3 linked regions of the Cricetulus griseus genome follow. The protein of the gene in region 1 binds, or shares a complex with, the protein of each later gene. Links are inferred from orthologs where the notes say so. Each region holds a gene or a part of one and is shown on either strand. Other genes may lie near its edges.

What was found.
Region 2: Dnajb13 (region 1) and Lrrc23 share a complex: the UniProt entries of both Homo sapiens proteins name them as parts of the axonemal radial spoke complex. The link is inferred for Cricetulus griseus from reciprocal best matches to the Homo sapiens genes DNAJB13 and LRRC23.
Region 3: Dnajb13 (region 1) and Dydc1 share a complex: the UniProt entries of both Homo sapiens proteins name them as parts of the axonemal radial spoke complex. The link is inferred for Cricetulus griseus from reciprocal best matches to the Homo sapiens genes DNAJB13 and DYDC1.

Annotation. Positions count from the first base shown.
Region 1 is NC_048596.1:99,001,404-99,005,156, forward strand, and holds the start of Dnajb13 (dnaJ homolog subfamily B member 13), read left to right. Parts: upstream 1-885; 5' UTR 886-1,217; coding exon 1,218-1,285; intron 1,286-3,753. UniProt on the Homo sapiens protein: Functions as part of axonemal radial spoke complexes that play an important part in the motility of sperm and cilia.
Region 2 is NC_048601.1:21,634,702-21,637,975, reverse strand, and holds the end of Lrrc23 (leucine-rich repeat-containing protein 23), read right to left. Parts: intron 1,076-3,274; coding exon 802-1,075; 3' UTR 625-801; downstream 1-624. UniProt on the Homo sapiens protein: Essential for sperm motility and male fertility. Plays an important role in the proper assembly of the third radial spoke (RS3) head and the bridge structure between RS2 and RS3 in the sperm flagella.
Region 3 is NW_023276807.1:179,038,072-179,041,724, forward strand, and holds part of Dydc1 (DPY30 domain-containing protein 1), read right to left. Parts: intron 2,328-3,653; coding exon 2,310-2,327; intron 1,016-2,309; coding exon 970-1,015; intron 355-969; coding exon 250-354; intron 1-249. UniProt on the Homo sapiens protein: Functions as part of axonemal radial spoke complexes that play an important part in the motility of sperm and cilia. Plays a crucial role during acrosome biogenesis.

The sequences.
Region 1 (3,753 bases):
CAGCCTCAGCTTGGATCATAGGTGTGAGCCATCATACGCAGCTTGTTCTGAAAAACGAAATAAAAAATAAATAAATAACCCTCCCCCTTTTTTTTTTAAAGACAAGGTCTTACTATTTAGCTTTGGATGTTCTGGAACTTGTGATAGTGAACATTATGTTTAGAGGACAAATTTACTTGTGCTAGGTTTGTGAAAACAAAATGTTTTTAACTTGTGTAATCTGTGAGGAAGTTACTACTATCTTGAATGTTCCCTGTCGGGACATGGATCACTTCCTGGTGCAGTTGGACTATTCTTAAAAAATTTCTGATTGTTACAAAATGCATCACTGCCCCAGCTATTCCTACAAGATAAATGGGTCACAAGATTAAACAGCTAACTGCTAAATTCTGCTTTTGTATGAAACACTTGCTTGGGTGCTGAGGCACCTGCTGGATGCCTGTTACAAAAATCAAGCCTTAGCCAGGCGGTGGTGGCACTCACCTTTAATCCCTGGGGAGTCTGAGACAGCAGATCTCTGAGTTGGAGGCCAGCCTGGTCTACAGAGCAAGTTCCAAGATAGCCAGGGCTACACAGAGAAACCCTGTCTTGAAAAGAAACAAAACAAAACAAAAAAAACCAAACCAAAATTAAACCTTGCCCATACCCAGACAAGATATGAGTTAATTTGACTCCCCCAAACTATAACATTGTGGGTTTTGCCTTTATAATCCTTTGACTGATAATAACCAGGACCTTACTTAGAGAACGCCCTAGTTTGTCCTGGCCAGGCTCTTTTTAATAAAAAGCCTCTAAAGTTTACTAATTTACTAAAACTAAAACTTGAGTCACACTGGTGAATGTCTGAACGACCTCTGACTCACAATGAATTCACAACGCAGATCAGGCTAGTCTTCAGCCCCCAGAGATCCAACTGCCTGTGCTGAGAGCAGGATTTAAAGGTGTTGCACCACTACACCCGGCTTTGTTCTGAAATTTTTAAATTCTCGGCAGTTGCTGTGCTAAAAAATAAACAAAAAAGTGTTCAGGGACTCCGGTTTCTGAGATGTGTGACCTTTATGGGGTCACAGAACCAGCTGTGAGCACCGCAGGGCCATTTGTTCAAGAAGGAAAGACTACAATTCCCAGAGTGCGCCTCGTGGTTGCCAGGGGCAACCATAGAACGCAGACTAACAGAGGCTGAAGTCTGAGGAAAAACTGATCTACTCCTACCAGCCATGGGGGTAGATTACTATGCTGTGCTCCAGGTCACTCGCAACTCAGAGGATGCCCAGATCAAGAAGGCGTAAGTGGGAGGGATCGGAGCCCGGTCCTGCTGAGGCAACCCTACCCTGATGCCAGCCAAACCGCTTCCCTGCGCAGTTTAGTGCAGGAAAGGGGCACCTCTGTCCTCTTGCCTACTTTTATCCTGGCTTTGGGCTGGTCAGGACACAGAATGGAAATTCAGACACACCCTTAGTGCACCAGTGGGCTCCCCGTACCCAGTCCTCATGCCTCTTAGCTCTACTTGGGTCATGTCCGAATTCCTAGCTATGAAATGAGAACAAAGGATCTTTCGGACCTTACCCTGAGTCTCAAGGAGATTACAGGACTGTGAACCAGAAATGACCTGACAAGTGGATGTTACAGTTTCCATTCTGGTGATCACACGGGTTTTTGTCCCTGACTGATACTCATCTCTGAATACCTCTCTCAAGTCTCAAGGACTTAGTGAAAGTCTAGATGCAGGTGTGATGCTAACTGCCTGTAATCCCCAAATGGTTTGTGGTCAGCCTGGCCAGCACAGGCTGAAGAGCAAGGTTCTGTTCTAAAAAGACAAGGGATAAGTGTGATGGGGGAACATCTAGGACAGAAGTCAGGCTGTATTTCTGAAAATTTTTGATCTTTAAACTTCTTTTCTTTGGAAAAAAAAAGTTTTGGGCAAGAATGCATTGAGCACTAACCTCTTGAGTTGTGCACAGAGCAGGTCTTTGTCACCGAGTATGTATCGTTATAAAGGATTACCTGGGGCTGTGTTGAGAGGCGAGCAGCTTCTTGAGAGGCTGTCCTGATAATTAAGCCAAAAGTCAAGGCCTGAAGGAGGATTAAGGCTCTGCAGTAGGCTGGAAAGGGAGAGGAGAGACTGAACTTGACAATTAATTGTATAATCAATAGTATAAAGAAAAAAGGAAGCATCTGAGGCAACTTGAGGTTTAGGGGTACACCAGATGCCTGTATTGAACATGGAGGTGCTTTTCTGAGAGTTTTTTTTTTTTTTTAATCATTGTTTTACTTAGTCCTCAAGTGACCCTGAGAGGTAAATGCCATTGTCATCCCAGGAGCTTGTATGCGACTAATGGAATCAGAGATCAGACACCATCCCTACCTCCCTGGGCCAGGTTCTTGTGTAGACTGAAGTGAAGTGTCCAGGGGAAAAAGAAGACAAACTCACTAAACAATTGAGAGCAATTCCGTACAGTGGATGAGTCACCCTCTGTTCTGGGCTTTCACTGGCCAGTGATTTATGAGTGGAAGGTTGCCATGAGAGAAATCAGGTTGCCAGTGGAACTCAGTAAGGGAAAGGTTACCATGGCAAACAGAGATAAACACAGCTTAGTTACTGGAACACCAACTGCACTGGCTAGTTTTATGTCAACTTAACACAAGCTAGAGTCATTTCAGAAGAGGGACTCTCAATTGAGAAAATGTCTCCACCGTATTGGCTGGTGGGTGAGGTGCATTTTCTTAATTGGTGATTGATATGGCCCATTATGGACTGGACCACTCCTGGGTGCTAGAAGAAAGCAGGTTGAGCAAGCTAAGAAGAGCAAGCCAGTAAGCAGCACTCCTCCAAGGGCTCTGCATCAGCTCCTGTGTCCAGGTTCCCTCCTTGAGTTTCTGTCCTGACCTCCTTTGATGATGGAAGATTTGATTTGACTGTGAAAATGTAAGATACAACAAACCCTTTCTTTCCCAAGCTGCTCTTAGTCATGGTGTTTCAGCACATCAAGAGAAACCCCGAGACACCAAGTACGACACACTCACTCAAGCTTTCCGTTCCTGATCTTCTAATCTCTTAAAAAAACAAAAGTGTGGAGGAGGAGACAGACCAAGGAGATAGGAGACGGCCCAGTTGGTAGAGTGTTTGCTGCTCATGCAGGAGGACCTGAGCAGGAAAAAAAAGCTGTGTTTCATTTGTACCCCTGGTTCTGGGGAGGCAGAGAAGGTGGTGAATTCCTGAGGCTGCCTGGACAGTCAGCCTAGCCTACTTGGAGAGTTCCAGGTCAGTGAGAGGCTGTATTAATAGCTGAGGTGGACAGAGGGACAAGAGGAGAGGTTGTCCTCTGGCCTCCACATGGGTGTGCCCACATGTGAACCTGCACAGACACACAAATAGGCAACACACACAGTTTTTAAAGGACAGGAGTTGTTTCAGGATTAAAATAGGATCAGATGCGATACTGTATATGAAAATACCCAGAAATCCCTGGCAGATGGAAGCATGAGGTAAGAGTAATGAAAAGAATTGTATGTTCCTGTTGACAGCCCATAACTCTTCCACTGTAGCAACTTTTAAGGCTTGAGCCTTGTGAATGCTACATTCTCTCATGGGGATGTCTTGAGACAGGCAGATCCCTGGTGCTTGAGGACCACCTGCTGTAGTAGAATTTGTGAGCCCCAGGACAGTGAGAGACTGTCTCAAAAAAAAAAAAAAAAAAAAAAAAAAAAGCAGAAAGCAGTTAAAGTTGACTTCTAGCCTCCATACACATGCAT
Region 2 (3,274 bases), on another chromosome or scaffold:
CTCATCAGCTCCTTTCTCCAGACAACCCCTACTAGCATCCTGGTTGCCCCGGACCTGCTTCTGGGCTGTCCTCAATCTAAGTCTCCAGACAGAACCTAGGAGTTTAGGCCCATAGAACAAGCCACAAAAAGATGACCACCAAAGAGCCTGAGCCTTGGGATATGATGGATTTCCAGTTCTGGAACAAAACGCAGCATGCCCGGATTCCTAGCACAGGACTATGAACGTGGTGGTCCCCCGCCGGAGTCTCATCAATTCTTGAGGCAATGGTCAATGAGGTCTTGGTTAATGGTCTCCTGGAAGAAGAGGACAGAAGTGAAGCTGGTGCCCCACTCGAAATGCCCACGTCCCTAGGCTTCTCGGTCTCTGCTTCACCATGCCCTCCTTTCGCCTCCCCACCAGTGTCCTGTTATTTTTAGGTTCAGATTTTTAGTGCAGGATCCTTTCCCTGGCCCAGCTGCATCCTCTAGACACCACCAGCCACCCCTCCCCCTGGGCTCCCCCATGCCCCCAGACCTATCTCCCTGCCGCATATGGCTGCACACCAGCCCTTCCGTCTGCCACTCCAATTCTCACTTTTCTGGGTTCTTTTATCTTTTTATCAGCTCTTCCTGGCCTCTTATCTTTCCTTTATACCTAAGATACCTCCAACTCCCAAGTCTGGTCTCTGCTGAGGGTTCTCCTGGCCTCTTCTGTGCGTTCAGCCTTTGGCCTCCGCTAGCTGCCTTCCCGCCCCCTCCCTAACGGTCCGTCCGTCCGTCCGTCCGTCCGTCCGTCCGCCCGCGTAGGCTGGAGGAGCGGCTAACTTGGAGGCGAGTATGGCTCCATGTCATGCTCTCCCTCCAGTTCCTGTTCCTGTTCCTCCTTCAGCCTCTGGCGGATCTCCTCCGCCTCAGCCCGGTCCTCATCCTCAAAGAACTCTTTGTCCAGACGCTCCAGGTGTGTCATCTGCACCAGGGCCTCCTGGCGGTAGTCGGTCTCATCTGCGCACGGGTTGTCCAACAACACCAAGGCTCGCAGCTTGGGCAGGTCCCGCAGTTTGGCCAGCTCCCCCAGGTCACTAATCATGTTACTCCTGTGGATGAAGTCACGAGGGCTTAAGTCAGGAACATGGGCTTTGATTGCTAGCAAGGAATTGGGCTTCCTCTGTAAGAACATCAGGCTGAGCCCTAAAAGCAATGACTGTCGAGGACTGTTCTGCCAAGCAAGTGTGGCCAGCCTTGGCCGGATGCAATTCCCCAGTCCCGCCTCTACCCTTCAAGGAATCCCTAGTTGCCACTAGGGATTCCTTGCTCTGTGATGTGTCTGTCACCTAAAATTTTGGAGCTGCATGCCGGGCGTTGGTGGCACACGCCTTTAATCCCAACACTCGGGTGGCAGAGGCAGGCGGATCTCTGTGAGTTCGAGGCCAGCCTGGTCTCCAGAGCGAGTGCCAGGATAGGCTTTAAGGCTACACAGAGAAACCCTGTCTCGAAAAACAAAAAGCAAACAAACAAACAAACAAAAAATTGGAGTAGCAGCTTTAGGCCTCATCCTGCCTTGTATTTGGAGAGGAAGGGCAAAACGTTCTTTATAGGAGCAGATATCTTCTGTGTCAGCCATATCACACCAGAGGTTAGAAGGGTCAGATCAGCAGGGAAGGAGCTCGTGCCTAAGTATGAGGTGCTGTGGAGTTGGAGTGCTGTGTGGATGCTTCCCTCAGTAAGGAGCTAGGGATGTACTGGGTCTCCCAGACTGAATAAAAAGGCCAGTCCTCTGACGCCGACTTCTGAGACTCTGTATGGAATGGCATATTCCTGGCTTTCAAACATTTATGAAATCATTCTTAAGTATGCCACTCTAAGCTCAATATATATTGTGGGCCTCCAGGAACATTTCCTACTTTGAGCTCTATTGGCATTTTATTGGGCTCTGTACATATTACACATGTGCGAGGCCTTGGGTTTGATTGATAGAACCACAAAAAAAAAAAAAATCAAAGAATTGTCCATCAGAAAAGAGGTGCTAAGAGAAAAATCCCTCTGACCCTGTGTGTGTCCAGTCATCTCTTTCCTTCCTCTTCCTCCCCTCCTTGTGTATATGTGGGAGGCGTGAAACAGAGCCTGGCTATGCAGCCCAGGATGTCCTTGAATTCTCTGAAATCCTCTTGCCTCAGCTTCCTAGGTGCTGGAATTATAGACAGGAGCCACCATGTCCCTTTGTTTTTGTTGCTGTCATTGTTTTGGTTTGATTTTGTTGTTGTTTATTTTTGGGGGGGTGTTTTGTTTGTCTTGCTATGTACCCTGGCTGGCACAGAAATACTATTTAGACCTGGCTACCACCTGAAGCTTGTAGTAGTCCTCCCCTCCTGCCTCTGACCTCTTGAGTGTTAGGGTTATGGGCGTGTGCTGCCACAGCCGGCCTTGAGTTTTTCTTTTCTTTCTTCTTTTTTGGTTTTTCAAGACAGACAGGCGTTTGCTGTATAGCCCTAGCTGTCCTGAAACTCGCTCTGTAGACCAGGGTGGCCTCGAACTCAGAGATCTTACCTGCCTCTGCCTCCCGACTGCTGGGGTTAAAGGCGTGGGCTACCACCGCCCTGCTACATCTTATGTTTACCATCAGTTAAGGACTGTCATCTCCAGGTAGTGTTCAGTTCAGGAAGAAAGAGACAAGAATGGAAAGGGTGACTGGGGCCTCGGAGACAAAAGGGCGTTTGTGTAAGATATAGACAGGAAAAGGCACTGGAGTCAGTCTGTGAATTGCTTAAAAAACAAGGACTAGCAGCATAGTGGTGAATGCCTATCTCAGCTACCCGGGAAACTGGGTAGAGATTGGGGCCAGCCTGGGTAACGTAGCAAGACCCCCATGTTTAAAAATGAAAAAGAAGCTAAAGTGGGACCAAGATCAAACTATAATGCACAAACTGACTTTGTGGAGTCCATTCTCTATGGAGAGATACCTTGCTCAGCCTAGACACGGGGCAGGGGGGCTGCCTTGGTCCTACCTCAGCAAGGTGTGGGACAGACTTAGTTGACATCCTAGGAGAGGCCTTACTCTGAGGAGTGAATGAGAGGTGGGATGGGGGAAGGAGGGGAGAACAGGAGGAGAGTAGGGAGGGGGAACTGGAATTGGAAAGTAAAAAATAAATTTAAAACCCCCTCCAAAACAAAACAAAAAAGAAAAGAAAAGAAAAAGAAGCCAAGCACTGTGTGGCACACACCTTTAACCCCAGCCCTCCTAGGAAGGTAGAGTCAGGAGAAACTTTGAGTTCAAGGCCAGAGAAACCCTGTACAAA
Region 3 (3,653 bases), on another chromosome or scaffold:
TCAAAATACTCATACACATAACATAAAAGTAAAATTTTTAAAAATTGGTTAACACCTACACATTTGGTCTTCTTTGCATGAAGGAAAAGTATTCCGTGTATTATAAATATTATATATTTAATATATTTAGATAAATATATTAAGTTTAATATTCATTAAATATATTTAAAATATTATATATTGATAAAGTCATATACACCAGACTTTATCAACATGAAAACTTCTGCGACAACACATTTTGATACTCACATCAGATAACAATGGCTCTTCAAGCTCTTCCACTCTGCTCAAGTTAGGTGCTCCGTAGCGATCACTGATTTCAGCTAGGGTTTTGCCTGAGTCCATCATTGAGTCCTACAGTCATAAAAGTCAGTTTTTACTTTTGCATGTCTTCAAAATGAACCTGTTATTTTTCTGGCAATTTGATATAAAATTTCTGAATTAAGCACACAAAATCAACATTGTTAAGTAGTAGAATTCATCAATGGCTTTTAATGATACCAGAATTCTATCTAGTAAGAAGCACTAAAAATTATCTTTAAATGCATTTGGAATTTCAAAATGCACTTGTAAGTAATTCTATGTGCAATATAACAGGACATTGTATCTTCAAAATATACAAGTACATATTTCATGTTCAAATTTTATCCACTTTGAGGTTTATTTCAAAGCACCACACAGCTGTGACTTACCATTAGAATACTAATTTGGACTATCACTGTTATAGGGCTTTTGACTTTGCTTTTGTTTGTTAAAACAGGGTCTCACTATGTAGCTTTAGGTGTGCCAGGAATCACAACAACCAAGCCTCAGGCACTGTGATCCTGTGTGTGCCCTACCATATCCATCCTGGACCAGCACTTTTGACAATGTTCTTATTAAAACTTTAGCCACTGATATTTAAAACTTAGGTTTCTACTCTTAAACTGTACTCATTTCACATAACACACAGTAGCTATTCCTTCTCACCTCTTGCTGTAGGGACTCATCACCCTTAGCCCCACTTTCTGTGCTTCTCTCCTAAGAAAAAATTAAGAAAACACTGAATATTGTTTGTTTCTATTTCATGTTTAGATTTTAAGAATTTTTATTTTTATAAAGTGCTATGATCAGTTTAACAGCAAAATCCATGTCACTTTCCAAGGAGTAATCAGAGTAATCAGAATACAGGGCACACACACGCACACACACACACACACACACACACACACACACAAAAGGATCACAGTTTCATTTACTATATACTAATAAGAGATAATGGTTCATAATTAAATAAAATTCTTTCAAAAATGAGGCTGACCAGAGGTGAAGGTGTAAGACCCTCGAAAAGCTGATGCTTCCAGAATCTTAGCCCAGGACTGCGGCCACCCCAATCACAGAATGGAGGCGAAAGCTTGATGCAAATTGCATGAGGCTTTATTGTAGTTTAATGAGCTAACCCCATGTTAGCTCGGGCCTTTGACCCACCTACCATGGCGGATGGCTAGCAAAGACAGTTCGAAGCCGCTGCACAAAGATCTTTATAGGGCAGCATAAGGGGAGTGTCTAGGGGTATGCACAGGCTCAGGATTGGCGTGCCTCCAGGCTTGGAGGGTTTGCCCTGTGTTGATTGGTCAACTGGTTGTTATGGCCCATAGGCCCTCCCAGGGTGGTTGCTATGCTTTGTGTGTCATTGCTGTGCGCTTGTCCGTAAAGCACACCCAGGGTCGTAAAGCATAGTGCCACCAGCTAACTTCTGATTGGCTCCTTGTCACGAGGCAGGCATCTGACTTTCTAGTGACTAACTTCTGATTGTTTCCTTGTCACAAGGCAGGCATCTTACTTTCTAGTGACTAAGACAAGGTCATAGAGCACATGTTTGGTCATTATGGCTGCCAAAAGGGAAGCTGGTCCCTTCAAAGGGTAAATCTCAATTGCTGAAGGCATCATGATGCAGTTCAGACACAGAGCCCTGAGCTGAAACTGACCTGAGTACCTTTTTCCCTGGGGACAAGCTTTTGTGATACCAGAAGGTGCCATGAGAGCTTCAAAAGGAAAGAAGCAACCAACTGTCCTAGCCAGTTGTGATGTCCATGAACCACAAGCCCAGCATGGCACAATAACCTTAAGAGTGCAGTAGTAACACACATGCCTTACTGGTTTAACAAGAGTGGCATCCTGCTTGGTAACTGGAAACCTAGCTAACTACTCAGGTCAGGCAAGTTCACAGATCTTGAAGAAGAACTTAGAACCACTTTACTAAGCCAGCATAATCCCTAACAACACTCGAAACATTTGTCCTTCAACCCATAGACAAATGTAGTCTTCACACCACATTAAGGAAACTTCTCTTTGCAATAACAGACAGAGACCATTACAGAAAACCACATTAAATTAAATTTAAACCACATTAAAATAGCATTCAATTAAAATAAAACTGCATTCAAATTGCATTCAAATACAATTAAAATGCAGAGTTGTGGGGTCCAGTTCCAGTGTATACATCTACAAAACAAGTCATGCACCTAAGGCTCAGGGGACATGGAAGTGGGTGGAAAGATTGTAAGAACCAGAGAGTAGGGGGCTATAGCGGCAGAAGCTATATCCATAAAGTCTCCCAATATGGCTGCATACACATGAGCTGGCCAAGGACAATAATAGACATGTCAAAGTGGCCAGGGGAAAGCCCATGAGACTTCAACCCTGCATGAAAACTACAGGCACCCAAAGAATGCTAAGAGTGGGAGAAACTGTCTCCCCCAGGGAAAAGCACACTAATTGGTTGTCTGATGCCAAATGGTCAGCCCTGAAAACGTACACAAAAGTAGCATTATACAGACATGGCAGGTTTTGTTTTGGAATATATATGTGTGTGTGTGTGTGTGTGTGTGTGTGTGTGTGTGTGTGTGTAACAAAAATTAATGAAAAGGGTGCTATAAATTTGAAAGAGAGCAAGAAGAGGTATATTGGAGGGTTTAGTGGGAGGAAAGGAAATAGAGAAATGATATAATTACATTATGATCTCAAAAATAAAAAAGAAAATATATAAAACATACATTGTATGCAATTTTCTAAGACTGAATAAAAATATTAGGAATTTTAAAAATGGGCTGAATGAAATGTTATAATTGAAGCAAAAGTTCTAGCAACTATGTAAAGCAACAACATTAATGTCTTAGATTAAGAGATTTTTAAACAGAGGTTGAGTTTGGGCTTTATATACAGGAAAAAAATGAGTCCACATTCCTAAATGAATTCACCATGTCCAAGTTACTGTCCAATGCCCAAGTGTTCTCCAGAGGTCCTTAGCAACACTCATATGCTGCAGGGGAAATGTTCAGCCTGACATGAAAAGCCACTCTTCAATGAGAAGGTTCTTCTAACCAAGCCAACCTACTATGACCTCCATTTTTTCATCAGTAGGACGGTGCAAAAAAAGTCACATGACTCATACTGGGATGAGGCATTTTGGCAATTGGAAGATTACTCAGCTTGTGACTGTCCATATGGCCACACTAATAATTATAGGGATATAACATAGTATGAGGTACTGTTTTGCAAAGAGGACTTCATTTTTTATCTAGGGAGTTCTTTTATTTACTTTTTTGCTTTTTGAAACAGGGTTTCTCCATGTAGTCCTGGCTGTCCTAAAGCTTGCTGTGAGAACCAAGCTG